Linked DNA regions of Bombyx mori. Each later gene encodes a partner of the first gene's protein in a complex. Links are inferred from orthologs where the notes say so. Each region holds a gene or a part of one and is shown on either strand. Other genes may lie near its edges.

The links.
Region 2: DNA replication licensing factor Mcm5 (region 1) and DNA replication complex GINS protein SLD5 share a complex: the UniProt entries of both Homo sapiens proteins name them as parts of the CMG helicase complex. The link is inferred for Bombyx mori from reciprocal best matches to the Homo sapiens genes MCM5 and GINS4.
Region 3: DNA replication licensing factor Mcm5 (region 1) and DNA replication complex GINS protein PSF1 share a complex: the UniProt entries of both Homo sapiens proteins name them as parts of the CMG helicase complex. The link is inferred for Bombyx mori from reciprocal best matches to the Homo sapiens genes MCM5 and GINS1.

Annotation. Positions count from the first base shown.
Region 1 is NC_085131.1:8,497,169-8,507,505, forward strand, and holds the start of DNA replication licensing factor Mcm5, read right to left. Parts: upstream 4,938-10,337; 5' UTR 4,829-4,937; coding exon 4,674-4,828; intron 4,600-4,673; coding exon 4,452-4,599; intron 4,439-4,451; exon of another isoform or gene 4,143-4,438; intron 3,510-4,142; coding exon 3,402-3,509; intron 3,252-3,401; coding exon 3,079-3,251; intron 2,783-3,078; coding exon 2,704-2,782; intron 2,523-2,703; coding exon 2,364-2,522; intron 2,250-2,363; coding exon 2,012-2,249; intron 1,601-2,011; coding exon 1,407-1,600; intron 1,090-1,406; coding exon 949-1,089; intron 475-948; coding exon 298-474; intron 100-297; exon of another isoform or gene 1-99. Other genes in the region: dynein beta chain, ciliary, read left to right, coding at 6,330-6,338, 7,056-7,160, 7,318-7,488, 8,112-8,282, 8,793-8,881, 9,018-9,121, 9,209-9,397, 10,210-10,337. UniProt on the Homo sapiens protein: Acts as a component of the MCM2-7 complex (MCM complex) which is the replicative helicase essential for 'once per cell cycle' DNA replication initiation and elongation in eukaryotic cells.
Region 2 is NC_085121.1:9,241,455-9,251,962, reverse strand, and holds DNA replication complex GINS protein SLD5, read right to left. Parts: upstream 5,152-10,508; 5' UTR 3,955-5,151; coding exon 3,378-3,954; intron 2,696-3,377; coding exon of another isoform or gene 2,673-2,695; exon of another isoform or gene 2,021-2,672; coding exon 1,947-2,020; 3' UTR 1,927-1,946; downstream 1-1,926. Other genes in the region: ATP-binding cassette sub-family C member 4, read left to right, coding at 357-548; opsin-1, read left to right, coding at 5,289-5,295, 8,052-8,217, 8,319-8,439, 8,524-8,641, 8,710-8,923, 9,297-9,444, 9,778-9,888, 10,281-10,447. UniProt on the Homo sapiens protein: Required for correct functioning of the GINS complex, a complex that plays an essential role in the initiation of DNA replication, and progression of DNA replication forks.
Region 3 is NC_085118.1:17,157,200-17,167,349, reverse strand, and holds DNA replication complex GINS protein PSF1, read left to right. Parts: upstream 1-3,860; 5' UTR 3,861-3,990; coding exon 3,991-4,062; intron 4,063-4,324; coding exon 4,325-4,389; intron 4,390-5,228; coding exon 5,229-5,679; 3' UTR 5,680-5,795; downstream 5,796-10,150. Other genes in the region: cact (cactus), read right to left, coding at 366-640. UniProt on the Homo sapiens protein: Required for correct functioning of the GINS complex, a complex that plays an essential role in the initiation of DNA replication, and progression of DNA replication forks.

The DNA.
Region 1 (10,337 bases):
AGGCGAGTGACATAGGCTACCTTTTATCATGTAAAAACATCTCGTTCCCGCGGGTAACTACAACGACATTAATGTTTGAACACGCGAGCGAAGACATGGGTAATAGCTAGTAGTAATTATATAACGTCACAACAATTTTACTTCGTTACCAGCGTACACACCATTTTTTGTTCAGATTGAGGAGGGCAAGGACAAGATTGTTCTGTCTCTTTACTAAAAGCGCGTGCTAGTATGTATTTTCTATGGCATTATTAATGGTCTAATGCTTCTGAAATAACTGATATAGGCTATACTCACTATATCTCTGTTCTGATCATGTTCATCTTTGACTATAAAAATCATGTCGAATCTGGATAAAATTGTTGGCATGAAATCAATGTTATCATCAGCTTTAGTATCGTCCCATCGTCCGAATACAGAGTTGGCGGCCGCCAGGACAGAACAACGAGAATTTAATGTAGTGGTGATACCCGCCTGGAAATAAAGCAATATAGTATAATTTTGTATTTATATTTTTCTGGTGGTAGGACCTCTTGTGAGTCCGCACGGGTAGGTACCACCGCCCCGCCTATTTCTGCCGTGAAGCAGTAATGCGTTTCGGTCTGAAGGGTGGGGCAGCCTTTGTGACTATACGGAGACCTTAGAACTTATATCTCAAGGTGTGTGGCGCATTTACGTTGTAGATTTCTATGGGCTCCAGTAACCACTTAACATCAGGTGGGCTGTGAGCTTGTCCATACACCTAAGCAATAAATAAATAAATAAAAATGTACCGAAATAATGAAACAGGTTGAAATTCTTTTTGTGAGCAATGAGCAAAACTGGTTATAAGGACGAAAAGTAATTCTAGAAGTTTGAGTTCTGTTGCAAGTGTTGAGTTGCATCTGCTTTTTTTATTATGATCAATAAACAATTGTTAGTTAGGATAAGAGGGTAATATGAACTCACCTTAGCAATAGAAATAGTTTGTTGTTCCATTGCCTCGTGTATGGCGACGCGATCATCTTCTCTCATCTTATCAAATTCGTCTATACAAACAACACCACCATCAGCCAAAACCATAGCCCCTCCCTCCATTACGAAGTTACGCTAATGATAAAAGAAAAAAGATACTGTAGTAATTTATAAAAATGCATAACCTCAATAATAAATCCAATAGAAATAACGTCTAATTTACATTAGAATGCAAAATTATTTTAGAGTTGAAATGAGCAAGATGTATGTAGTAACAGTATGTAAGAATGAGTAATAGCAAAGTAGTCATTTGATAATTTAAAAAGTTGATAATTAGCGATTGTTGGGGAATTATTGATTGTTGAATTGGGATTGTTGGTTGTTCAGTTCTTGTCAGGTTAAACAGAATGAATGTGTTTGGGCATTCTGATTAAATTACTAGGATTTCTTACGCTTCCAGGATCTCTAATGACTGAAGCGGTGAGACCTGCTGCACTCGAACCTTTCCCTGAGGTATAAACGCCAATCGGGGCAACCTTCTCCACAAATTTTAGCAATTGAGATTTGGCAGTACCAGGGTCTCCAAGTAAAAGTATATTTATATCTCCTCTACGAGTCAGGCCATCCGGTAGGCGTTTTCTAGATCCTGTAAGTAGACATGGAGTAACTAGTAATGAAGAACATATGATCTAAGGGTGCATTTAAAAAAACAGAAATATAAAAATACTCTACAAACATTTAAGCCACTCTTAATTGTACGGGTTGTGAAATCACTCTTAAGAATGAAAGGGTAATGAGGTACTATCCTACTTTTAAGTAACAAAGGCAAATATTTTTTTTTTGCCTTTTTAATAACTCCAGAATGAGAGCCAAAGTATATGATAGCACAACCTCTAGAACGCCACTCTTTCTATAGAAATTTATTATTGATACATTGTATTCGTGTTACATTGCATGCAAACAATATTTGTTGCATTAATGAAATCATTACATCCATCTTTCGTTTGCAAGAGTTTTTCCAATACAACCTATTCATTGTTTTGTTGTAATTTGTTACCTCCAAAAAGCAGACAAGCGATAGCTTTCTTCATATCAACAGCACCAAAAACACTTGGAGCAATGGACTTTCCGATCCTTTCATAAATGTCTGGAGAGGCAGCGAGTCTTCTGAATTGCTCTTCTTCTTCTGCAGTAAAGGGTCTCAGGCCGCTAGTGACACCTTCCTCTGCGGTGAGCCCTACGGCTCGTAGGTACGATGACCGGACGCCTACGGAGCCTTTGTCGCGACCCTCGCGCTGTAAATGTCAAATCACGAACTACAATAATTCGCAGGCTCGAAGTTTTGATAAAATCATTGGCATAATTATTATTACTGTCATTCTTAAATGATAGTCATATTCAGTACTAACCCCTACTTTTGCTATCTTTTTTATAGAATAAATCCCCAAAACCGTGACTCGTGCGCCTGGTGCAACACGTTCGCATAATGTACGATCACAGTATACAGTCAAATGCCTTGGCATTTCTCCTTGTGGAATACTTTCTGGTGCTTCTTGAAGTTTCAACACCTGTAAATTAATTTGAAAATCACTGTTTTTATATCTCTTATTATTTCTAAGATATTCACATGTGCACACTAAACTAAACCATTAATACTTTTAATATGATGCATTTCAAAACATTTCTGACAGTTATAAATAGAAGTATTGTAATGTAATTTACATAATGACATCTTAATACTACAATTACCTGATAATCGATACATTTGCATTTGTCGGGAATAATGAAATATGGATCTAAAGGACATTTAGGACGTCCAGATTGTTCTCTGAAAATTGAAACATGAAATGTGTAAATGAAAGAACAAAAATGAAGATAAATCACGAATGAGTTTAGGGAATATATTATCTAGAGCAGTCTCAAGATATAACCAGGGTATAGTAATTGAGAAACTTTCTTCCATAGATTCTCCTTTTTCTTCATATAATAAAACATAAGATTAGTGGCTTAAAATCAAAACTGGTATGACTCAGTAATAGAGAATATTTACTTTAGGTTCAAATTTAGTGGTCCCAAAGAACATACTATTTTTAAAATTGGGATACTTTAATGAAATTAACTTACGTATTGCATTTTCTTGGCATGACATATCCTTCCAGACCTGGCTTCACAGGAAGATTGGGAATAACATTGCGGCATGAGCGACATTGTATGGATATTTTTGTGGCTTTTGCTTTAATACCGGATGCTGATATTACAATACCAGGAATCTTCACTAGTCTTGATACAGTTTCTGACTAAACAAAATTTTTCATTTTGTATTTTGTCATATAATCAACATTTATTTTACTAACCTAAATGTATAGACAAGCTCATAACGAAATGTTAATTAAATTTGAATCTGTTTACTATTTTTAAATTTTATAACTAGATAAATATTAACTTACTTTAAGCTCCCTCAAATTTGATGAATGTGCATCTGATGACAAAAGCACTTGAATATCCTCAACTTTCTCCTCACCTTCTGGTCTCGGTGCAGTCAACTCATCAGCTAACTGGAAAATGTACATTAGTTGATTGCAACCTTTAGGTGCTGCATATCAAAACAAGCAGAGGTTAACAGATTATAAAAAAAATAAGTTTTTTTTTTTTTTTATTGCTTAGATGGATGGACGAGCTCACAGCCCACCTGATGTTAAGTGGTTACTGGAGCCCATAGACATCTACAACGTAAATGCGCCACACACCTTGAGATATAAGTTGTTAGGTCTCAGTATAGTTACAACGGCTGCCCCACCCTTCAAACCGAAACGCATTACTGCTTCACGGCAGAAATAGGCAGGGCGGTGGTACCTACCCGCGCGGACTCACAACAGGTCCTACCACCAGTAATTAGGCAAATTATAATTTTGCGGGTTTCACTTTTATTACACGATGTTATTCCTTCACTGTGGAAGTCAATCGTGAACATTTGTTGAGTACGTATTTCATTAGAAAAATTGGTACCCGCCTGCAGGATTCGAACACCGGTGCATCGCTTCAACACGAATGCACCGGACGTCTTATCTTTTAGGTCACAACGACTTCAAAACAGTCTCTTTCTTATGTAGGTTAAATTTAGAATGTTGTTACACTTATCTTAAGTGTGATTGAAAATAGTATGATAATGACTATAGCTTTATTTCCAGGTGGATGGTGGCATTCTCGTGTATGATGTTTAGACTTCAAAAAAAACTAGTCAACTCAGCCTATTTACTCCTTATCTAGTTTAAAGATAGTTTTGTTTAGTAATACCTTTAAATTTTTTATGTAAGGATTTTAACAGCTCATATACACTGTATTCAAGTTTTACTATATAATAATTTGGTCCAAAACAATTTAATGTTACAAGTCTCTTTAAGTGGGTGTGCATTGTCAAACTATCCACAGTTTTATTGAAGGAGTAATAAATAATTAGTTATACCATAATATTATGTATCAACAACTTGTCTTAATACCTCTTTAGCAGCTTCTTCTAGTATAGGCAAATGTTCAGTTGGTTTCTTGTATAATTTTTCAGCAAGAACGTCATCAAAACTAGACAAATCTTCAATATTTATCTCGACCCAATATTGGTTTAGGTTATAGTTGCGTTTGAGGGCATCTCTACAATTTGTATCAAGGAATGAAGTTTAGTTTGAAATCCTATGCTAGGTACTGGTTAAGAAACGATTTTTTACCTGTATTTGTAATTGAAGTTTCCAGTATGAAACTGTCTCATGAATTCTTTGAATTTCTTTTTGACTGCTTGTAAATTAACATGATCTTGAGATTCGTTTTCTTCTACACCAAAATTATCAGAGAAAAATACACCAGGATCATCAAAACCTTCCATGTTACTAAATCACAACCTAACTAACCCGTTATATGTTATTTAATTTAAATTTAAAACTAATTTTATCGTCACTGACAAGTTTACCTTTCCCAAACACATTTAATTGGCGCGAAACTTTTTTTTTTAAGGGATTTTATGACCTGGTTACTAAGACCTTTAGGTCAAGTCTTATGTTAATATAAATGATAACTTTTTTTTAAGTTAAATGATATTATGAAATGAAGTGAAGTTGATTATTAAGAAACATAGCATGAAATGAAATGAAAACGAAATAAAATGAAATGAGATGAGATGATATGGGATGAAATATTGTCTCAGTAAAATAGTGGTTATTTATTGAGACTTTTTGGAAGATCCCGAGAAGCTACATCCAGTGCCTTTGTTTCTTTGCCGCATTTGTGCAGGTCTATCCGATGATTTGCAAGCAAAGTAAATTGTCCTTTCGTAATAAGATGACATTATACAAAATTTGCATACGTCCAGTCATGAACTGTGCAAGTGTAGTGTTCGCTCACGCGGCTCGAATTACTTTGAAGCCCCTTCAAATCATCCAATTCTGTTTTTGCAGGATAGCCGTTGGAGCACCGTGGTTCATGAGGAACGTGGATCTTCACGACGATATGGAGTTAGACTCCATCAGTAGGTGTATACAGTCAGAATCGGTGCGTCATTTTGAGAAAGCGGCTCGACACGAAAACCCTCTTGCCGTGGCCGCTGGTAACTACATACCCGATCTTGCGGACCGAAACAGTCGACGTCGCCTTAAGCACGTCATTTTGGATCCTCCTGAGTAGGTGCTTTTAGGTACCTCGAGCACCGGTCATCGAAACCGTCGCGTGCGACGAAGGGTTCGGTAAGTAAATTAACCCACAGACACAGCTCACTGAGTTTCTCGCCGGTTTTCCTTTTCAGTCGGTTGCGTTTCCGCTCCGTTGGTTGATTCTGCGAAGTACTGCTCTTGTTGGGTTATTGTTAGTAACGTCCTCAGGTTAGACCCCCGTGAGCTCACCTACTAGTTCAGTGACGCTGGCATAACCCTCTAACGATACCACCGTAGGTAGAAAAAAAAGTGATTCATGCCTTCCCGTTTGGATTGGGACAGCCACTATGCAATTGAGACCTTACTGGAGCATGTTGACATCACAATGTGGATGTTGGCACTGCACTTGAGTAACAAAACACCAGAACAATTTAATTAATTGAGCTTGAGTTCGAAGGCTCAATTTCAATTTAATAAAATCATTATACCTAATATTTTTATTTTATTTGTTTATTTCTCTTTAAAATTAAAGGAGGTGATCATTTTTAACATTTCATCGCTACTATTTTAAAACCTCAACTGTTTGTAAAATTTAAATTACGGCGGGGTTGCTATGGTTACGAATTTGTTGATTAAATATCGATCGATTGTTTTGAGTTGTATGCAAATATCTCTTATTTAATTACGCAAAATGAAAGTATAACGAATGTTATCTAGTTAATTTATGAGTCAAATTTAGTCATGGGAGATGTAAGTGAAAATAGAAGTTATTTTTAATTAAATAGGAGGAGATATTTTTATAATTATTTTGCCTTTGTCGACATTGGCGATAAATATTCAATAGACACTGAACTGACAAAAAGTAGTAAATTAAGCCTATTTTGCAATATCATAAGGGCCTGTATACCATAAGAATAAAAACGTATAAGCATATTATGTTGCACGTATGCGTTTTTTTCCCCAATGGGCTACCCAAAGCCAAATTTATAGGATTTTTTTCAGCAAAGATGTTCCAATGACTGGAACGATTTGCGATTTAACCTTAGATAGTGCAGTCACGGGCTAATCTAGCACAGTATGCTGTCTCTTGTTCAACTCCTACAGCTTCATTGTCATTTTAACATTACACATTTCTACTGTGGAGTATTTGAAGCGCCTGAAATTATAGTGAAATAAATGAATTAAAAGAGAGTAACAGGTTATTTTTAAGAACTTTATGGATATTTGGAAATACAAAATTAGATTAGCCTACAATAATTATTTTTTCACAACAAATAGAAACAACAAGAGATCACTCGTTTATTTAATTTTTAATTAAGAATGGGCTGGTTAAACTATGGATATTACTATAAATAGATTAAATGATTTACGTATGTTAATTTTGAAAATCAACAAAATAAGGTTTAAATAAAATAAAATGAAAACGATTTTTTTGCACGTAACCTTTATTTTGGTTGCTCATTTTAGAAAGAAGATGTCGATACTCGTCTGGAGTTTATGAGTGAATACCTACTGAAGACATTAAAGCAAAAGGCAGACAAGTGGGCTAAGTTCATCACTGGAGATGAAAGAGTGGGTTTAATAAGCTCTTATATGTTTATTAGATAATTTAATTACTAACGCATTTTGATGAAAATGCAATTCAGAAAATTGTATAACCTGATTACTTGAGCACTTAACACCAGGTTCATTCACCACTCTATGCAATAAATTGTTTGTTTAATTTCAGCATATTCTATTTAGATATTTTGATATGCCAAAATATGACATAATAGTCTTTCGAATGAACACGGCTGGCATGCTAACATGTTCGACAAGTTTTCCACCTATAAGCAGGGGAAAGATGGTTTATTTCCTAAGAAATGTTGACGATAAAATAACACAAGCCAATTTTCGTAAGGTACTTATTTATTTATTATTTATGGCTACGAATTGTTTTAAATGTGCGCGACAATTTACACTATTAAAATATTATTTAGTGAGCTCTCACCAGGATTGTTTTAACCTAGTACGTTACCTTTAAAGGTCTATGGTTACCTTGAACCACGGAATAGATACACAAGGTTATCTATTCCGTGCCTTGAACGGTTTTGAAACAAGCGAGAGTGTTGACCGGAACTAGGCCTGTATTATTATTATTATTATAATGAAGTGTCGTGATTATGACGGAACCTCAGTTGTGTTCAATTAAAATCTTACCCGGACATATCTAGTTCCGCACAAGCTCTACAAAAAGCGAGTACGAGTAAATTTCCACCGTAAATAGACCCGTAGTGTGTATTTGCGGGTACTTTTTCTTTTTGACTACCTTATAGTGATCCTGAGCACTGTAACAAGGTTTTCATGGTTGGAGACAATATTCTTGAGGAAATTCCGACATACATATATAGCAAGAAAATTGTAGCTTCAGTCAGTTGGGTTAATGTGAACATCACAAAATCCGATGAAATTGGGATTTAATTACTTTATTCAGCCTATACTACTACTGAGGATGATGATGAATTTTCGTTTCTGACTTTTCAGGCAGTAACTATAGGTGAAATGTCAGGTAACGTTCTGATGGATCTGAGCGTGTTGGCCGATGAAGTAATAGGGCCTATGCTTTGTAATCCAGAGAATCAAAAGGGATGGCCTAAAATTGTGCAAAACGATATGAAGAGACATGTTAATGATTTAAGGAATTTAATGCATCAGGTTGGGATATAATTGTGTTTGTGGAACAGAATATTTCCCGGTCACGAGTAGTTTGACAAGATTACTTTATTGTTTTCGATGCTATAGGACTTGTAAATTGCTTAGATGGTAACCGGCTCACAGCCCACCTGGACATAAAGAATGTAAATGTCGCTACCTTGAAAAATAAGTTCTAAATCTCAATTCTGTAGTACGAAGACTGCTCCAACCTTCAACTCCGAACCCATTACTGCTTCGTGGCAGAATTAGGCAGGTTGTTGGCACCTACATGACGTCTTAGCACCAGTTATTTTTCTCGCTAATATTTCTTTTTTGACGATCCCTATGTACAAAACGCGTCTGTGTTCAATGTGTATAAATGAATTTAAAATAATGCCCGTGTAACCTATTCTAATAAAACCTATTCATTGATCATTATTGTTTTGTACTGACCAATTTTTTTAGAGTCGAATAAATTTAATGGCTTATCTATAATGCGTATCTTACGTTTGTTTCGTATAATATTCACAGCTGAAAGGCGAAATGTCGAGTCAGGTCATGCTACCCATGCCGGCTGGCGTCGAGAATATTTATCACGCGGAAGCTAGACTAAAAGAAAGGTAAAAAATACGTTTATGTGACAGAAATAGCGAAATAATGGTGACGACTTCACAAAGTCTTACTGAAGTTTGTTTCATTATTTCAACTATGTATATATGAAGAGAATAATTTTAGAGTAAAATTGTATTTTTGTAGTGACGGTGAAGATGTCGATTTATACCTAAAGACCAACATCGAAGGCGCTGTCATAAAATGGGCACAACAAGTTCATGATTTGCTCAAGGAAGACTCTTATATGGGTGATTTATTGATCTATTCATTAAATATGGATATTTTTGCATTTGTATTTGAATACTAATGTTTTTTTGCTTAAACAATACCTATAGCCTTTAAGAGAACAAGATTCCCATTACCAACCGCCGATATAGAGTTCTATAGTACCAGACTCCGCAACCTTGAGGGCATATATTCTCAACTAAGGGATCCTCGCGTCAAGAGAATGGCCAATTATCTGGAGGAGACCCAAAGCGTTTATCTCAATTGCTTCAAGTCTATGCTAACTAATGTGGTAGCCGGTGAGTCTTTGGCAGTTTGATGTATTTAAATAATTTATTTTGTATTTGTTATAAAAAAGAACATAATATTCCTAAATAGCCTAAAAGTACATGTTATTATCCGCAACATGCTTCGTCAAAAAGTACAATACTTACTTTCAGCTACAAGAGTCGTCATGAGTAACATATAGGTCCACGCTAACAGCAATGCGGGCGTAGGCATCGGCTAGTCAAACAAGCCACTCTGGATCGTACCCGGCTCGAAAGTATTTGATGTATTTTGTCATAAATGAGCACACGAGCTCGCGTTCCATCTGGAGTTCACGCTCCGATTTGAACAACAATGTAGAAGTCTCGATTCCATTAGGATAACGACTATTGTAACTTTGAAAGCGAAACTATTGACTGCTTTACGGCAAATATCGGTCGATGTCGAACAGTGGAATTGGCCTATAGTTCATAATATGAACGATTAAAATTTAGTGAAATTTCAAGTCGCTTAATATGTCATTATCGCCTAAAGGATAGGATAATATTTTTTTTTTAGTAATGCTTTATCTATCCATGAAACGGTATCTTCCAACGTAATTTTCACTTTTATCACGAGCATAAAAAAATATTTATTTTCATATCCAGTTTGGATTTTTATTAAAAAGCTTTTTGTTTGATTTTTGAAATTACCATTGCTAGAAAAAAAAAACCAAATTCATTTAGAATTAGCAAGGAGTTTTTTTCACTAGCACGAGGACTGAAGTCTGGAGATCCAATAGAGAAAACTCTCACAAAACAAATCTCATTTGTTTTCTCTCAAATCTTATTTGTTTTGTTAACAGCCATCGTCGAGTGCCGTGACATTTACGTGTACCAAAAACCATTGATAATGCACTTTGAGACATTTGAAGGAACAGATTTTGCTGACGCGAAGAGTCTCATCCGACCCATGTTTCACTGCATCTGTCTC
Region 2 (10,508 bases), on another chromosome or scaffold:
CAACAAAAAAATGGACGGTCCATTTTATAAGCATTGACCAATCAACACTTCAAACTGCCGAGCTCGGAGTCTGTTCCAATCCCAACCATATGCTAGATTAACTAATGTTTAAAATAGATAAGCTATTAACAACATATATATTATCCGAATATAATTTTTAGAATCAACGTGAGATTTTGACCTCGTGTCTCAAAGGCGATTTCTATCTGAATTCACGTAGTGAAGTTTAAGAGCTATGATTTATTGTTTAATATCCTTCTTGTCGTGACTTCGTCTACTCGTATTCACAAATTGAAAAACAACGAATTATTAATGGCTGTGCCAGTCTTATGAATGTGCTCAACATTTGCTTGTAGGTCATGGAAGCAGGCCAGATCGTCGAATGTGGCCACCCTTACGAGCTACTTAAGAACGATAACGGGCATTTCTCGAAAATGGTTAAACAATTGGGTCCCGCCTCAGAGCAGAGCCTTAGAGAACTTGCGCGGGACGCACACGCACAACACATACAATACGTCGACGCGGACGACCAGGATAAAACGAAATAACTGAACGTTTTATTACGTAACAGAAACGTTAATATTATGTAACACACGTACTCGCCTATTTGTCATAATCGTCATTACAAATTGATAGGTACTTCAGTCCAAAAAGTGGCAGGCGGCATTCCGTTGTGGTGTCTATGAGCTCAAATAATTACTTAACAACAGGCGAGTCGAAAGCCGGTTTTATGTACGATGTACTTAATGTGTTACTTAAATTTTGATGGTACTTAATTCGTTGGTACAAGATTACTTTCAAATTAATACATTGCCATAGCTGGGCAGCCAAGTTCGAGATACACTTGGTTTTAAAAGATTACAAGTATCCATAGACTCCACAGTTGAATACCCTCGACGAGAAACTACCGCCCGCCTTAAAACGTCAGATCGAAGCTTTAATTGAGGCAACATTCACAGGTTCCCACTGTTTGCTGTAGGTTTTTTTAATGTCGTATTTACTTGATAATAGCATTGGCGATGTTTATATCTAATTAAGAATATTATAAAGTCCCGGTAACACTAACATAGATAAGTAAGAAATTATATCCACCACAACTGTTAAATTACTATTTTAAACGGTTGTCACCAAAGTACACGTCGTGTCTCTAAATTAATAGTGCATGGATATCTTTAGTCCAATTCACATTTACAGGGTCATAACGAACTATTTGTTTAAATTATTTATCTACATATACCTATTTTCACAAAGAGTTTATTTCTGTTACTTTTAAATAATGAGGAAGCTTTAAATGTTACCAATAATAATCATAGTACTTATTTAGTTATACATATATGTATTTAAATTATTTTATTTACAGTCCATATTTAATACTCTATTTATAAGCAATCTTTTAAATTTGTATCTTTGCTTTATGTTTGTACAATGTACATTTTACTATGGCAACATACAAAAAAGTAACTTATTACACAATATGTTGATTATAATAAGGTTTTTATCGAATATATGTAGATTAATGTTTAAATTTTAAGATCTGCTAGTAAGGTGCTGTTCATTATAACCTAACCTAGCCTAGCTAGCCAATAAAATGTATCCAAATTCCAGATATATTTTTGTAAGGAAAAATAGTAAGCTGTCAGATTTAACTTAAATATAAATAAGTGCTTTATGAAAAAATATTGTGATATAATTACAAATAAATTTACATTGTAGTTTTTTAATGTTTCAACTGTCTATTCTTACATAAGTAGTAATTGTAACTTTGAAATATATTTAAATTTTGTGAGATTATAATACTTCAGTACTTATTGTGTACTTACCTTGTATATTTATTATGTTAATTTACAATAAACTGAAAGTAAAAATTAATTTTGTTTAATTTATTAAACTAGCTACAAATGTTTTAAAAATAAATGAAATACAAAGTGTTTACAGAAAATTTACTATCATAACAATGTGACTTTCCCGTTCTTTAAAAGATCTGCAATTGGTTTGTATTGCAAGATGTGCTGCGAGCCCTCTGAAAGAAATAAGTAGTATTAAAGACATTATACTGCATTTTATTTATTCTTAGTCTGAGCCCACACTTTTAGCAAGATTTTTACTTAAATAAAAAAATTTAATTGTAAACAATACAGTAAAACTTGTGGCTGTTATTAACAAGTTAACATTTAGTATAGTGAAAATCATGAACAGGTAATCTTCCACAGAGCAGTAATTATTTCTTGTGAAGCCAGTAGTCCAAATGTTGTTTGAAACTTTTATATATCTTAGATTTTTCTTGTATTTTTTTTTGCATGGTTTCAGTTTTTGCTCAATTTTTGTCCTATGATAGCTACTGCTATTTCAGATTTAAAATTCTATGACATTCCCTAGTTTTCTGAGGAAATGCATAAACTTAGTATTTATATAGATAGCATTACTGCAATTACAAACCTACGAAATTAATAAATTTGACTTTACTGGTGTAAGTATATGGTTGGGCTACATACCTACAATAAAATTTAGACTTTAAATTGAAATGTTAAGGTAATTACAAGCATTTTTACATTACAGCTTTATCATTTAACATCTTACTTACACTTTCACTAGTGGTACGGTGTCTTGTGAGCCTGCATGATGTGTACCACCACCCTGCCTATTTCTGCCATGAAGCAGTAATGCGTTTTGGTTTAAGAGTTGGGGCAGCCATTAACTGAGTCATAAAACGGAGACTTAGAACTCTTGCCTCAAGGTTTTAATTAAAAAAAATAATAATTTTAATTATAGCACAACTTTGCACTTTAGATTAGTTTAAAAGTATAAGATTTTAACTCCTATGGTAAATATCATTCACTGTGTTTGATTTTTTTTTATTTCTGAGATTGCTACATAATGTATGTTCAGAAGTGTTGTATGTGTCAGACATACACAATGTTAAATGTTCACCAAAATCTATAAATACTATAAAAAGTGAATACCTCCTGAGATATGAGGTCTAAGTCTCCATTGTCTAGTATGGGGACTGTCCCCATTCTTCAAACTTCATGACTGCTTTATGGCAGAGACTAATTAATTGGTGACACATTCCCATATGGCCTACCACCAATAATTATGGGATATTATTTTTATTTTGGCAAGTTTATTGTTTCCATAGTGTTATTTCTTTTTTGTGGATTAATCAAACAGAATTAGATTCAATTTAAGACATATATAATCAAATCATTCAATATACCATAATATTATTATTTAAGTCATGATAACTTCAATGATATAGGTGATATCCTGTGGTACAATAGTCAAGGTCATTAAACCAACAAGGGTATTGCTCTATCTATCAAAGTATAACAAAAGAAAACCTATAATGTGTTTCAGTTGTGAGAAAATCAATAACAAACCTTCTAAGTCAATTTCTTCATCTTCACCAGTCAAGTCTTCTAATACAACCCCATTAATGGTTTCATTGGCTTTAAGGAATACATGCGTTTGTAAATTAGGATGTTCTGCCATTTTGTTCATTTCAAAGACTTGCATATTACCAGGCATTTTATTTAATACCACATTTTTCATATGATTTTCCATGTTCAAAACATATTCTTGAGCATATTTATATTCTGATGGTGTTAGGTAATTAGTATCAGTTTCTATTCTTTGTCTTTCTTGGTTTAGTATTGGAATGCAATATTTTTCAATCTTATTCAGTCTAGTTTTAAGATAATTACAAATAATAAATTTAATTCTGCTAATCTCCATTTTGTGTATAGAAGTTCTCAAATCAGTTTTTGAAAGTTTATTTATGTTTCTTTCCATGTGTTGTATTTGACCTAACATACATTCTACCATGTCATTTTGATGAGGGAGTATTTCTGGGGACAATCTTTCATTTTGCCAAGCACTTTGTAGTGTTTTTAAAACAGTCTCAGCTGTTACTTCTTCTTCATCATCACTGAACTGCAACTCTTCGGTTGACTCCATATTCTTCTAAATTATATATACCCACAGAATTCTAGTGCAACTTTAGATTGTCACTGAATGATATTATTCTAGCTTTCACGACTCGAATTTGAGTTCTGGTGTTTTTTAGGTTCTAAAGAGCTTTTTTTACCAATTCATTATAAATTTAAAGAGTATATAATCGCATTCATGTTTCACTACATTACAATCATAGTTTTTTTTTCTTTTATCTTTTTCTTTTATTAAAATTTTCTGTATTTTTGTCTTGCTTTCTGTACTAAACAAATTGTTACTTTATGACATACCTCAATTGTCATTAATTTTTTTTTTCTTCTGAATAGCACGGGATTTTATTTCTACTACCTTTATTGAAATAATAAGTTTATGGTAAAATAATGTAATTTTTTTTCTCACAGATTTTTTTGCTTACTATTTGTTTAAAACTTTGTTGGTTTGAACTAGAGATGGCGTTAACGGTTGAATTTATTTATCTGTTAACTGGTAATTGATAAAAAAAATTACCGATATTTTTATTGGTTGAAAATACCGGTAAATCTTTTCGTTGAAAAATTAATTTTGCTAATGTTAAACTTGAATGGTACTAGCACTTTTCGAAATGATCCCATATTTCTGCATTGCGTTTCGGCATTTTAAATTAGATATACAATTTAAAAATCCACAACAACAAAGTAAGCAAAGTCTCAAACACACAAAAACAAAGTCAAAACACACAAACACAAAGTACAAATCTCTTAAAATACAAAAACACAACTTTACCAAAATAATAGAAAAGATGCACTGAGCCACCAAAATGTCAAGTACCAAACAAAATATTACGTTTAAAAAATCAACCAATCACGTCATCTTCGCGTTCGGTAAAAATATCGTTTCATTTCAATTTTTTAACGAAAAAAATTATCATTAACTGTAAAATACACCAACTTAAATATTGTGCTTTATTTTGAGGGGTATAGAGCATACAATGAAATCATAAAATTCAATATTTTTTACATGATAAGTTGAAGACATCTGCAAGGCGAAAATGAATCTTACGTGTTGAAATAAAGTTGAAACTTGCATAAATATAATTTCCAATAATTGCCTATGCCACTACACGCAGTGTGTTTGGTAAACGGTATTTTTAACCGTTTTGGGTAATTTTATTTATCGAATAGAAGTGTTAATTTTTTTTACCGGTAAATTTATTGGTTATTGGTTATATTAGCCACCTCTAGTTTGAACCAATGTTTTATCTATTTCTATCATAAGTAATACTACGAAGAGTGAGTGAGCAGCTATGAGTCTCGATGATATTTAATATCAAGTTCGATTTCTACAAATGATAATGTTCCTGTATGTTAAGTATGTTTCTCCACTGTGTTCTTGAACAAAGTTTAGTAGTGAAGGAATAACATCGAACGCTGTAATAAAATTAGTATAAGCCGCCATACCATCTTGTTTATTTCTTGTGCAAACCAATCATCATCCTGGTTTGAAGGGTTGAATGGTTAATATTTTTAAATATTTTTTTATTGCTTCATGTTGTGGAAGTCTCAGTAGTAATGGGTGCTCGAGCCATCCTAGTAGGCTTACAGCAAGCCTTATCTTACTAGTAAAATTAGGGATGAAGAGCAAGAAAACGAAAAAAGTCGATATTCAGAAGAGAAAAGCCAGTGCTGACACTATGAAAGAGTGCGTCGCCTCCCACTTAAAACTACATATTATTTTCAAAACTCGTCTGAATATAGCTTTCAGAAATACTTTGCTATAGAGTTCATCCTAGAATTATTTCTAGAAATGAGCTGTGGATGGAACAATGAACTCTACTTCGGACATTACTACTGAAAGTTGTTGTACATGTGCTTGGTACAAGCACACTGACCATCCCGTAAATACATTTACATTATTCATTCTAAATTTTACTTAAAATAGAGCCGTGGGCCGCGGGACACACCTAGTTTGTTTTAAACAATTAATTGCAGTTTTTGTATCGAATAATGTACGTACGTACTAGCGAAGACATTTAATCTTGTTAGCCACATAAACCTGCTTCTTTGAAGTCGCATAACTACATTACCTCAGTAATACAGAGCTGTACTTACAAATATCTGTACTTACAAATAGCTGTACTTTGCAAATATCAACCGTACTATAACGGCGGCACTTAAACATAGTTTATTTTATAAATAACTAAATTTATTACTAAATTTCAAAATTCTGCTGACCGTTTCCTTGAAATTAGTCCACATTAAGCACTTTGCATCTTAAAATTTAGTTTTTTCGTTCCAAAATTTACGTATGTGCTCCATTGCTGCTCTTTTTGGAATCACCCAGATCTTTTGACACAAGTAGACTTTAATCAAAAATGGCTTAGAATCGATTCTTAATATGCAGCTAAACGAGCTAACTTGGACCCATGCATCCCTACCCATCCGTTTTGGTGGTTTAGGGACTCGCAAAATTTCTCGTGTCGCTTTACCAGCCTTCCTATCTTTTGTCCATAGTTCAGCAAATCTCATAAGTAAAAAACTTTGAGATTGCTGGCTTGGAAGAAGCTAGAAACGCTTTCTTAATTGGATGCCCACGTCAAAATTTTCCAGTTTCTCTAAATTCACAGAAGAGCTGGGACGACATAAACTGCAAATTGACATATGACAATCTTTTGAGCTGTAGTACAGGTTCGGCGCGTGCTAGGCTTTTGGCTGTGGGTGCGCACGAGGCCGGCTACTGGATTCACGCGTACCCTTCGTCAAATACAGGAACATTTCTTGAGCCTGACACGCTCCGAATCGCAACCTGTGTACGGCTCGGGGTTCCGGTCTGTGTTCCTCATAAATGTCCCTGTGGCAGTGATGTCGACAAGCTAGGACATCACGGACTGTCTTGCCAAAAAAGTGCAGACCGCTTCTCGCGACATGCCGCACTTAATTATATCATACGCCGGTCCCTTGCCACTGCCAACGTGCCAAGTCTACTTGAGCCGACTGGTATTGCAAGAGACGACGGCAAGAGACCGGACGATATGAGTTTGATTCCATGGAAGATGGGCCGGGTGTTGGTATGGGATGCAACCTGTTCAGACACGCTGGCCCCTTCCCATCTACATGGAACCTACAATAAAGCTGGTGCGGCTTGTGAAGCGGCTCAAAAAACCAAAGCATGCAAATACAGGGTCTAGGCTCGGAATATGTTTTTGTTCCATTCGGTCTCGAGACCCTTGGTCCGTGGGATCCTAGCGCTATAAAGCTTTTTAAGGAAATAGCAAAAAGGTTAGTCGACACCACAGGAGACCGAAGAGCTGGCAGCTACCTTGGACAAAGAATTAGTCTAGCTATTCAAAGGGGGAATAGCTAGACTAATTCGCTGTCAGTATCTTCGGAACCTTGCCTAAAGGGACTCCTTTTAATAATATATTTTAGTTATAAAATTATTATTTTTATTCTTTATTATATAATATTATTTTAATATTATTAATTTAGTATTTAATTTTTAATTTAATATATAACATATATTTTATTATATTAACATATATTTTATGTCTAAGACGGATAATTTTCCACATTAGAATGTAGGTAAAGTAATTATTTCAATTTGGAATAATAAAATCTACTTTCGTTTTTTTTATTCCATTAGCATGAAATATTAATTATTTAATTTAAACATATTATGTTAAACGGTTAAACCGAAAATACAACTTTCTTATATCATACATTATTATTATCATTTTCAATTGTAAATGCAAACCTGTAAAATTCACCCTCAAGATAATAATATATTCACCTTCTAAGACATCGTATATCTTATTATGAATATTGATTTTCCTGCAACGCAACATTAATCCTCGTTAGGTATATAAAACAGAGCCGTACTAGTAAAGACGAGTAGCCTCCACGGCCTCGGCAATCCTGCCACACTTCGCACCACGAGATCGGTTTACTGTAATTAATCTGAAGTTCATTTAATGATTTCCTTCAGTATTTTATACCCATTTCAATACATAATTAAAGTTCACATTCCTTCTTTGTGAGCAAAAAATGACAAGTTATTTTTATTTTAATTGAATTGGAAGTAATTGAATTTAGATTACTATTTCCTAAAATTTCACTTTAATCATTCAGGTTACGTAGTCAACTTTAATAGTGCGAAAATGATTTCCTTGGATCCTGGACCAGGAATGGCAGCTCTCCAGGCGTGGGGTGGTCAAGTGGCTGCCTACGGAGCCGCTAACCAAACCGTTGTCGATAAAGTACCACCTGATATGCTACACATGGTCGATCCTCATTGGTTTGTTGTTAATTCATATTTTATTTTAAATATCATTCAATGTTGTATTGCAATAACAATTCGTAAACTAAAGTGATCATTTTTCAACGACTTCATTTCAGGTACCAATTTCCACCTATGAACCCACTATGGCACGCCCTATTAGGCTTCACAATCGGAGTTCTTGGCTTCATATCAATTTCGGGTAACGGAATGGTCATTTACATTTTCATGTCAACAAAGGTTTGTGAAAATAAATAACTTTTAAAATGCCGAAACTTTACGTCGGTAGATCGATTTTATCTCATGAAATGTACTATTTTCCAGAGCCTTAAAACACCATCAAACCTTCTCGTAGTGAATTTGGCATTCTCAGACTTCCTCATGATGTGTGCTATGTCTCCAGCGATGGTCGTTAACTGTTACAATGAAACTTGGGTTTTCGGTTAGTAAAAATGTTGCGAATAGAGTTTTTGTTTTTAAATAAATTTATTAAACATCATCTCCTTTTAGGACCTTTTGCATGCGAGCTATATGCTTGTGCCGGTTCATTATTTGGGTGTGCCTCGATTTGGACGATGACAATGATTGCTTTCGACCGCTATAATGTTATTGTGAAGGGCATTGCGGCAAAACCAATGACGAACAACGGCGCTCTTCTACGCATTCTTGGAATTTGGGCATTTTCGCTAGCTTGGACTCTTGCACCCTTCTTTGGCTGGAATAGGTGCGTAAACTGATCTTGAGGTACTTCAGAATTAATTGCAATTCAATAGACCACAGAAGTGCCCATGAAATACAAAATATATAATATTTTTTTTCTTCTATTGCTTATATGGGTGGACGAGCTCACAGCACACCTGGTGTTAAGTGGTTACTGGAGCCCATAGACATATACGATGTAAATGCGCCACCCACCTTGAGATATAATCTCTAAGGCCTCAAGTATAGTTACAGCGGTTGCCCCGCCCTTCAAACCGAAACGCATTACTGATAATATGTATATATCGCTCAGCTCAAAAGACTTTTTTAAATTTGCCTTGAGCCTGCTGCCTCAATGCGTAAAATGCATGTGCAACAAAAATATTTTGTTTTTACAGATATGTGCCTGAAGGAAACATGACTGCATGCGGTACTGACTACCTGTCTAAAGATTGGTTTAGCCGCAGTTACATTCTTATTTACTCCGTTTTTGTTTACTTCGCCCCACTTCTTCTCATCATATATTCGTACTTCTTCATTGTGCAGGTTTGTTTCACTATTCATCAGTATATTATTTATTGTCTGAGATAGGCAATTAATATTACTGTCCGTCAGATGTTATATGGTTAGCTGAGCCTGTAAACACCTTAGCGTGAAAACTGACGTCTAGTCTTAAACCTGGTAAATCAAATCATCAAATGAATAGAACGTCTTCTACTGAAACAACGGCTACTTTCGAAACTTTCTAATGACTACTTCGCTGAGAAAAGATGCAGCGCAATGGTAACCCCCGTGCAGGACCGTAAAATAGCATGTTCTGGCGCTTTGATAATTGTACAATCAATTAAACGTCCAGACAAAAATAATTTAACATTACAGGCCGTAGCTGCCCACGAAAAAGCAATGAGGGAACAAGCGAAAAAAATGAACGTCGCCTCTCTCAGATCATCTGAAGCAGCCAACACCAGCGCTGAATGCAAACTCGCCAAGGTACTGTAATTACACGACACAGTGTAGGTGCTTTGTAGTCACACATAAAACTTAAACAACAACAAACATTTAACGGCCGTTTTGTGTAGTGGTAAGTGACATACTCACTACACAAGGGGGTCGCGGGTTCGAATCCAGCCAAGGGAAGATATTTGTATGATAAATATAAAATGTCTTTTCCAGGGTTATGGATGTATATTATATTATATAGTAATATGTATGTGTATAATAAAAATCTTACATTTATTTCCATTATCTGGTACTTGTAACACAAGTTCTTTACGAACTTAGCACGGGACCAGTTAACGTGGCGTGATTGTTAGTAAATATATATTTATAATATATATATACTGTCAAAAATTCGTATATTATAATGACTTAAAAAATTTCAGGTGGCATTGATGACAATTTCCTTGTGGTTCATGGCTTGGACACCTTATTTGGTTATAAACTACACAGGGGTGTTTGAAAGCGCCCCGATCAGTCCTCTGGCCACCATTTGGGGATCGCTCTTTGCCAAAGCTAACGCTGTGTATAATCCGATTGTTTATGGCATCAGGTTTGTTTTTGGATCTCTTTTGAAATGAATTAAATAATAATGAAAAACATAAACATGTTAA
Region 3 (10,150 bases), on another chromosome or scaffold:
TAAGATTGTCATATTAATTTTCTTGGTGAGCTGAGGTTCTTGCACAAGTATAATTTGATAAAATTTCCACATTAACAATGTTTTTTTTTTAAATATGCCCTTCGTAGGTAATTAATTGACTTTAACAACAACAAAAAAGTAATTTGATAAATCTCAAAATATATTTAAAAATCTATCATTAAACTAAAAGGTAAGCAAGGAGTGTTTCTCGAAAAAGTATTTAATAATAGTAGTAGTGTCAAATCAAGTTAACAATGTTGTTTAAAATTATAGGGAAAAATTTCATGCACAGACCCCAAAAAGCCAAAATGAAGAATTTTTGTTGTTGTTGTAAGAGTGCGTGGAGTATAATGATTTATACATACGTGTCTCCGTCCTCGTCCTGTTGGAACAGTAGATACAGCGGAGGAATGTCTGCGGTACTCTGTGCAGGACTCTGAACACTAACCATTACTTGTGACAGCCTATCCGTAATGGATTTCACTCCACTTTCACCTTCACTATTCTTTTCATCATAATCGATCATCCCTGAATCGATATCATTACTATCACACGGTCCTGATATTTCACCAGTAACAAAACCGGAATCAGCGTACTCGTCCTCGCGCAATTTCGTTTCGGAATCTTTTTTGGCACTCATTTTTGGTTCAATTCTATACGACCGTTTTCAATTTTAACAATAATCTTATCGTTTCACTATTGTTTATATTACAATTGTTTATGAACACGGAACCATGTTTTGACACAAAAATGTCGCGTAATAAACAGCCTCACTACAACGAATGCGCGTGCACAATGCGTGATTAAGATTCAATGCTGGAGTATTTGTGACTACATAAGGCTGCCATTTTTTGTTTTTATTAGCATTCGTCATTACGTCACTTTCTAGAGACATGTTCGGAAACACTGTGTCATGTAAATTGTCTACAATCTACATCACTGCGTGATGATTTAATCTAAAATATTTTGTTTGAGTTGATAGATATCCTTAGCAAAAACAAAGTAAACATAGACATAGACAGTGACAATAGGTGTCTTGACTAGTAAAAAAATATCTGTTGGTTCGTGAAGTAAAACAATATAACAAAACTGTGATTTCGATAAAAATAAACTAAAACATCCACGTTTTTTTTTTTTTTTTTTATTGCTTAGATGGATGGACGAGCTCACAGCCCACCTGATGGTGAGTGGTTACCGTCACCCATGGACTTCAGCAATGCCAGGGGCAGAGCCAAGCCGCTGCCTACCGCTTAATACTCTCCACAAGCCTAGTTTGAAGAAGGACATCTCATAGCGCTCGGGAAACACCGTGAAGGGAAGCTCATTCCATAGGCGGATGGTACGTGGCAAAAAAGACCTCTGGAAACGCACTGTGGATGACTGCAGTGGCTCCAGGTAGTATGTATGAACTCTACTCCGGTGGCGGGTGGTGCGATGGTAAAAACGAGATGCCGGTATCATCTCGAACAATTCCTCAGAGCACTCCCCATGGAACATACGGTACAAAATACAGAGGGAACCGAAGTCCCTCCGTAGACCCAGATGCTCCGAAAAATTCTCTGAGAGTCTACCTTAGGGGGGTGCAGAGATGAACCTTGATAGGTGTAGTGTGATAGTGATATTACTTAAACATATGTGTATATATAACATACATAATATTTATAGATACAAAAACTCGTACTTAAATAAATACATTTACATAAATATATATGTATAAAATATATATAAATAAATATTATCAATTAGATGACTCTGATAACTCTCTAGAAACAGTTCTCGAACCCTCATCTTAAACGCTTCACGTGTAGTGGCCGACCTTAGAGAACCGAGTCAGAACTATATGGAGGACAGCGAAGAAGAACATTGTGAGATGAACGAAGATTTCGGCTGTGGTCAGACCCTAAGTATTGAAAGGAAGTAGTTAAATAAGCAGGTGGATTTGGGGAATGCAACAAAGAGTAAAGAGTACCGAGAGCACGCAAGCTACGGCGTTGTCGAATGGGGAGCCATTTAAGTTGGGAGCGATGAGAAGATACGTGATCGTATTTCCGAAGATCATAAATAAATCGAATGCAGTTATTGAGAAGCCGGTTAAGTTTATTGAGTAGATATTATGCATTCAGGTCAAAGTAGCACACATCACCATAGTCGATCAAGGGGAAAACCAAAGTTTGAACGAGTATTGTCTTGGTCTCGGGCGGAAGGAAATACTTCAGGTGGTAAAGCATACGGAGTCTTTACGACGTTATCACGTAAAACTCTCGTCCATAAGTAAACTTTATAGACAGCTGTGGACCCAATAGAAAGAACTTAAAATTTCCATTTGGTGTTTATTCTTTCATTTTACAATTATCGACTCTTCGGATCAACAAAACTAGAAGTTGTAATTGTTTGGTATTGTGGCCACAAAAAGCAGACGAACATACGTTACTCATTGAACAATTCCATTGCGTATTATGTGGGAGGGGGAGGGGGGGGGGGGGTTAGGGCGGGGGATATTATCTTGTTGAACACCCAGTAAAACGAAGTCACTTTTTGATTCCTGATTTAATCAACAATATGATAACTTAATTCACTTTAACATTTATCCAACCTTAACCAGTACGTAAAACAGTCACTTAATCACACAATGTAACAAGGATATAGTAAGTGCACCGAGCAAACGCAGTCGGCCGGGGCACCTGGCTTATCTATGAGTCACTCCTGTTGCACGTGCTGTTTTACGAGTGGAGTGACACGGCCGGCGCACCTGGCTTGTGTATGACTCACTCCTATTGCACGTGCTGTATAACAGAAGTAACGTTAACGCCGTCATAGATATGTTACTGCTTATTATTTCTGTGTGTTAACACAACGTAACGACATTGGGAATGTCGTTGGTGTAGAGAGCGTAGAGGATCGGTGACAGGATACCTCCTTGGGGAACCCCAGCTGTGGCTGGGCGCATCCACGATTTAGCGCTCTTGACCGCGACAAAAAGAGTTCTGCCCTCCAGGTACGACCCCAGTAGTCGCACGTAGGCGTGCTGGAAGTCCGTGTTCTGCACCAACTTGCAGATAAGCCCCGCACGCCAGACACGGTTGAAGGCCTTCTCGAAATCGAGAAATACTGCCGCCATGTACTGGCGTGCGTTGGACCGTCAAAAGGTGCATAACGCAGACCAATTGCAGCGTTGTTGAGTGACTGCTACGTATCCAGAATTGCTCGGGTCTGAGAAGGATGTGCGGAGACACTCTTCTCACCAGCAGCCGCTCGAACAACTTGCCCACATACGACAACAGGGTAATCGGACGATAATTGGAGGGCTGTCTTCTGTCCTTCTAAATTCCCGGGAAATATCCTGTAGACAGAATGTAATTAAACAGCCGTGTCTTAAAAGACACGACTGATTCTAGAAAGTGGAAAAATGCAAGGGTGAGAATACCGTCCTCACACAATGCCTTGCGCCTCTTTATCCGCTTGATAAGGAGGCGCAATTCAGCGGGAATGATGAAATCATCATGTCCCAGAGGTGGCACCGGGAGGTTAGTTTGCACGTCGAACACTTTGTTGAGTTCGACGAGTACGGTTATCAGGGTCCCTAAGTCTGCTCCTAATGTTAAAGTTGAAAGCGTCTTTGCAAGAGTAATTGGATCTGATGGTCGACCCGATAAGGAGAGTGAGATTATTATTGGCTGTATTGCTACTAAGTGATTATCTGTAAAAAGTTACTTGTATGACTTAGCTCCCACTTCTAGAAAATTTTAATATCTTAAGATTAGGTTTTGGTATTATAGATTTAAAGATCAAGGCTTCTGTGATTTTCGAACTCATCCAAAAATGATGCGTATCCGATCATAAAATGTCAAATTTACTATCTGTCACAGTCTTGAGCTGTCACTCATCAAATTAATAACAACTTTCGCGCCAATGCCAAAAATGTTTTTATCTAAATTATTAAAGTATTTTGTTTGTTATCTCTCTCATTGTTAAGTAAATAAGTAACACACAATGTTCGCAGAAAAAGTTATAGAACTAATTAAAGAAGTAGATAGAAATCCTGACACAATAGATCAATATAATGTAAGTTGGATGTGCCCATCTAGGTATGGGATTGGAATTAGAATAAACTTGTTATATCTAATGAAAGCTTTAAGTTACTATTTAATACCGAAACCAAGATTTTATCCGGTTGTCATCTATTCTGTTTGTCTATGCATATGCACTATAAAGTCAGAAATCCATTTAGAAGTGACAAGTATATTAAATTATTGTTATAGCACCGCCTATTATTATTTTTGTGTCTTTTAATCTTATAAAGTACATAGTATTTCACATGTTACAGGATGAAAAAATACGCCAAATAATAGAAGAAATGCATTTATTATTTAAATTGAACATGAATGATGCGTAAGTCACTGGTTTTCTACTAATATAACTGCAAGTAGTTATTGTTCAATATGCAAGATTTGCTATGATCACTTCTATTCTGTAACCTCCTATTCTGTTTCATGTGATGCAAAAGTGCTCAGGTAACCTTGTAACTCCAGGAAGGTCTATTTTTGTTTTTTTTTGTCAATCTATTGCTACTAACCTCGAGGGGTTATGCTAGCTTCATGGGATTTGAGGTAGCCCTGAGATCTCTCACCCAATTATGCAAAAAAAAGTTTTATGACTTTTTTGTTTTATAACTCTTCACATTCAAGCAGTTTGGATAACTTGCCCAGCAGATTTGATAGCTTTACTGGTTGTGCTTGAGTAGCACAGATATCTCACCCAGCAGATTTGTTACAGCACTACGGTTATGTATCTGCTTAAAAATACTTTAGTGGACAGGCTTGGCTTCAATTTCTAACCAAATCTTAGCTCAGCTTATTGAGTTTTTTTACAGTGTAGTTGTTTTTTAATAATAGTACTAATTATTGTTTTTGGTATATAAAAAAAATAGAGAAATGTGTGTTTGTTTGTTGATCTTAAAGTACTTTTAAAATGTTTCTCTAATTTGGCCAAAATCGGTCTGAGTTGCTGGTCCGCACAAACGAAAACGTCATTTAGTGCAAAGGGGTTAATATTTTCATGCACTTGAGTCTCATGTGGTGTTGTAATAAGGTTACCTGCTATTAGTCCATTTTAATTTAAATTTCAAAAATATGTAGTTCAATTGCTCATCAAGTTCATTTATAGAAGAAGAAGATAACAACAAACTGTTTTATGATTACCGCTTGTATTAATTGAATTACTATTTTTAGTAATGCTACAACAGAAAACAGATCATTGTGGACCACAGTTCAAGTAAGACATTCTGCCCTTGAACGCAATAAAAGGTGTATATTAGCCTATCTCTACAACAGAATGAAAAAAATTAAGACATTACGTTGGGAATTTGGTGCAGTACTACCTCCAGATATCAGAGAATTGCTTTCTGATGATGAATATCAATGGTTTTCAAAATACTCTGGAAATCTTGCTTTGTATATGAGATCTTTAGGCCAAGATATAGGATACAGTGGCATAGACTTGACTGAAAATTTAAAGCCCCCTAAATCATTGTTCATCGAAGTGCTTTGTGTTGTGGATTATGGTAAATTAGAACTTGAAGATGGTGATGTGGTTATGCTTAAGAAGAATAGCAGACATTATCTTCCTACTTCGGAATGTCAGACTTTAATACGACAGGGTATTCTGAAACAAATAATGTGAATTTATTTTATCAATAGTGAATTTTTGACCATTTTATGTTTTAAATAATATTGTGAAAAATAATGTTTGATGTCTGTATGGAAATAAATTTTATGAGAAGATTATTTTTACCATAAGCTTAGTGATTTGACTTGATTAGATTTGCACCTCCTAATAAAGCAAGTGTGTGTCCATTTTTTTTACTATCCCTGATGGGTGAAAGAGCAGTCATAGTGGCCTAAAGAATATAATGCTTGCTGTAGTCAAATCAAATGATGCAACAATCAATATCATCATCAGCCCCGAGGTCTCCTAATATCAGACTTCAGACTTAGAACTTTTGTTTAGGTGTGTGGCAGCATTTGCGTTTTTGATATTTACGTGCCCTGTTAATGAGCTGGCATTGAAAAAAACTATTTTCTCAAAAAAGATACAGCGCAGTTTTTTTTTTTTTTTTTTCCTACCTATGATGGTAGCCTTGAGGGCTCAAACCTGATGACGTTGCTAACACGAACCCTAGCAAGAGCCGTGCTTCGCAGAATCTACCACCGGATCGGAAACGCGACCCACTGAGAAGATACGGCGAGAAACTCAGTGGGCTGTGTCTGGGAGTTAATTTACTCGTCGAGCCCTTCGACGGGTTCGACGAGAACGGTGACCGGTGCTTGAAGTACCTAAAAGCACCGTTAGTGGATCGGGACGATCCGAGATGACGTGTTTTGGGCGACGTCGACTGCTTTCCATTCTGTCCGCAGGATCGGGAATGTAGTTACTGGCGGCCACGATGAGAGGGTTCTCGTGTCGTGCCGCTTTATCGAAGTGGCGCATCGACGCCGACTGAAGATACTTACTGATGGACTCTAAGTCCAGGTCGTCATGGAGGTCGACGTTCCTGACGAACCACGGGGCTCCGACGGCTATCCTGCAAAAACGGGATTGAATAATTTGGAAGGATTTAAAGTGAGTGCGGGCCGCGTGAGCGAACACTACACTTGCATAGGTCATGACGGGGCGTATGCAAGTTTTGTAGAGTGTCACCTTATTTCTAAGGGACATTTTACTTCGCCTGCATATCATCGGGTAGAACAGCAAAGATATTAATTTATCTAGCATAGAGGCAGGCACTAAAAACATCCACAAAACTACAACTAAAACCAGTCTGCATTTTCTCTGTAAACTTCGCTTTAACTAGGTAATATTACAATATTGCATGATCTATTTATCAACCAAACACTTAACCAGTCTCGTAAAGTTAAATAATGGATAAAGTTGCAGCATTAGAAGTTCAGAACAGAAAATGTGCAATGAATTATTAATATAATAGGTATATTTATATTTATTACTAGCTGACCCGGCAGACTTCGTAATGTCTCAATCGATAAATAAAATACCTAAGCTTTTATATAAAATAAACTTAAAACAAACAAAATGAATCCGTCCGACGGGGGACACAGAGGAAAAACAAAATTGTTATTTTTATTTAATACCGAGCATTTTTATATTTATCTACCTTTTAAACCTTTACATTAGCCAAAGCGGTCCAGCCGTTCTCGAGTTTTAGCATAGACCTATATAGTAACTTCAGTGAGTTTTAGCGAGACTAACGAACAGTAATTCATTTTTATATACAGTCGACTCTCGTGAATTCGAAACTTGAGGGACTCATAAAATATTACGAATTATCGAATGTTTGAAATATCAAATGGTTCGAAATTTGTGAGAGAAAATAAATAAAACTTCGAATTACTAAGTATTGATCAATAATTATTTATTAACTGCTATTCTATAACAATGAATAGTAGTTCTTTTCCGTACTCCAGCAGTTTGAGCAGAATTAATTTTCTCCTTGTGCTTTATTATGGTTGAGAGAGTACTCAGAGGAATCTTAAATTCTTTTGCAACATCACTTTTCTTCTCACCTTCCTCTACTTTTTCGATTAACTTCTTCTTTTCAGCAATCGTCAAACATTTATACTTTCTAGGACTCATAATTAACACAAACTTTTAATCTGCATACCAACGAAAGACTAACCGTAACTGAAACATAACTAAACAAACCAATTCGTGGGGAAGTGTGAGTTTAACTAATCATAACAATAACAAAGGCTCGTGTATGTTGATACCGCTGTAGTAGGAAACCTATAGGTCTATGGTTGATACAAGTTTGAAGTTGTCGCAAAATGTACTTACATTACAATCATTCGACCTCTTTCTCTCTGCAACTTTGAATTGTCCAGTGTTGGACGCCGATGAGTTCGAATTAACGCGTCGTTTTATTATATAGCAATGATTTTTCGTTCGAATTACCAAGTGCATAAAAATGTATTGATTTAGTTCGAAATATAAAGAGATTTTGTAGGGAACTCGTGATAACTTTAAATTATAGAGAGGTTCTAATTATCGCAGGTTGGAATTAACGAGAGTCGACTGTAGGTATATAGATAACACACGTAATTGCGACGTGATAGTAGCAAATAGTTTTGTAAATTTTGTTTTCTTGTAATGTTTTCGGTTTTCGCGCGTAGACATCATTATTATTACTTAAACTAATATAATTAATTTCACACTTTATTTTATTTTCGAATTCCGTTCTGAATATTTTACAATATAATACAAACCGTTAAAGAGTTATATGTAGGTATGTTTAATTATTTCTTACCCCTTAGATAATTTAGTCATATACGTTTTATACCGTAGTACAGAAATTTGACTGGTAGTAGAAATGTTAGGTACGGCGTGATATTAACCTTGATGGACTTGTATAACCACCCAAAACATAAACAGTGGGTTTTTCAGCTCGAATATCTAACTACGGGTCACAAAGAAACACAGGGATTCCCAAACAACAGCAGATTAAAAAAAAATATACTTATATTTTACAGTCCAACTCCATCTGTCATAGGCAGACTTTCCATGAAAATCGTGCATTGAATACCTGGGCCACTCGCCGATTCAGAGTCCGTTTATGTTTTCTTTATTGTGCCGAAAAAGCGGCCGTCACTGACACTCGACTTCGCAACTTCAAATTAAAAAAGTCGACGAATTTCATAGAACTCAGTTTTGTAAAGAACAATGTTTCTATTTCGTTTCGGACGTTTGGATGGACAAAGTTTCTAAGTTTAAATGGAAGTGGGATTCTCATTTTACGTGAGTCACTTTTGTCATACTGCAAATGGCGAACGGGTGGTCTCGTTCGCATTTACAAATATATCTTTGCCTTTCAACTCCTAGGCGGCTTTTTATTTTATTTCCCTTCTAGGCACACGAGCATACGGCCTATATGATGGTGAGTGGTTCAGGGTCTTCAGCAATGCCAGGGGCAGAGCCAAGCCTCTGCCTACCATTAAGTACTCTCCAGAAGCCTCGTTTGAAGATGGACATGTCATAGCGCTCGGGAAACACCCTGGCTCGTTCTAAAGCCGGTACGTAGCAAAAAATATCTCTGGAAACGCAGTGTGGATGAACGCAGTGGCAAACACCGTAGAGGGGACTGGACCGTTTTTTTGTGTTTGAGCGGTTCCCTCTAAAGTTTTGTTTTCTAATTGGATCCGGCAGGTGGCAATTTGATAAAATGTCAAGTTTTTAAGTTTACGAACAGAAAATCGTCTGCGGTGCTTGCTATAGTAGTACATATCGACGGAGAAAGCGGAATTGTCGTAACGTGAAAAACCTAACTTTACACGAGAACCCTAAATATAATATGTTAAAAAGAGATTTAGCCCAAAATTCAAGTTACGACATTTCCGCTTTCTCCCGTCGATATTGTATTGTATACCTACCTATACTATACATATACATTAGCTGCCTCTATCGAACTGTATTTGTATTATTTAGAGTTCTATTACTATCCGATTGTTTATTTGATTTGATGTATGATGTTTGATATTGATATATTGATGATAGATTTGATTATATAATATATACAAAATAATATTTGAAATATAATCTTTGAACCTCGTGCGTTCCGGTTTTAATAGTTACCTAGATAACCACACCGCCCAATCAGCCTCCTCCCAGCGTTAGGCAAATTATACGAACGGCTATTACAGAAACACCTCTGGGACTTCATCACCTCGGAAGGCATCCTGATCGACGAACAGTTCGGATTCCGCGCGAAAGACTCGTGCATTCAGCATGTGCACCGCCTCACGGAGCACACCTTAGTAGGGCTAAATAGACGCAGACCCGTCCCCATCGGAGCCCTCTTCGTTCTTATCGCAAAGGCGCTCGACATAGTCTGGCACAATGGCTTAATTTACCAATTTAGGATAGTGATTTCGGAAACAGCGCATCAAACTCAACCCAACGAAAAGCACTGCCCTGCTCTTCAAAAGGGGTCGCCCTCCCGAAATCACTGTTGTTACCGACCCTACCCTGAACAACAAGTTTCTCGATAGACTGCGAGCCGTCGCGATACGTGTCAAAATGATAAATATCGGAGAATTTTGAACTGCACTGTTGACGACGACCTTTGAGAGATGTTGAATTCCTT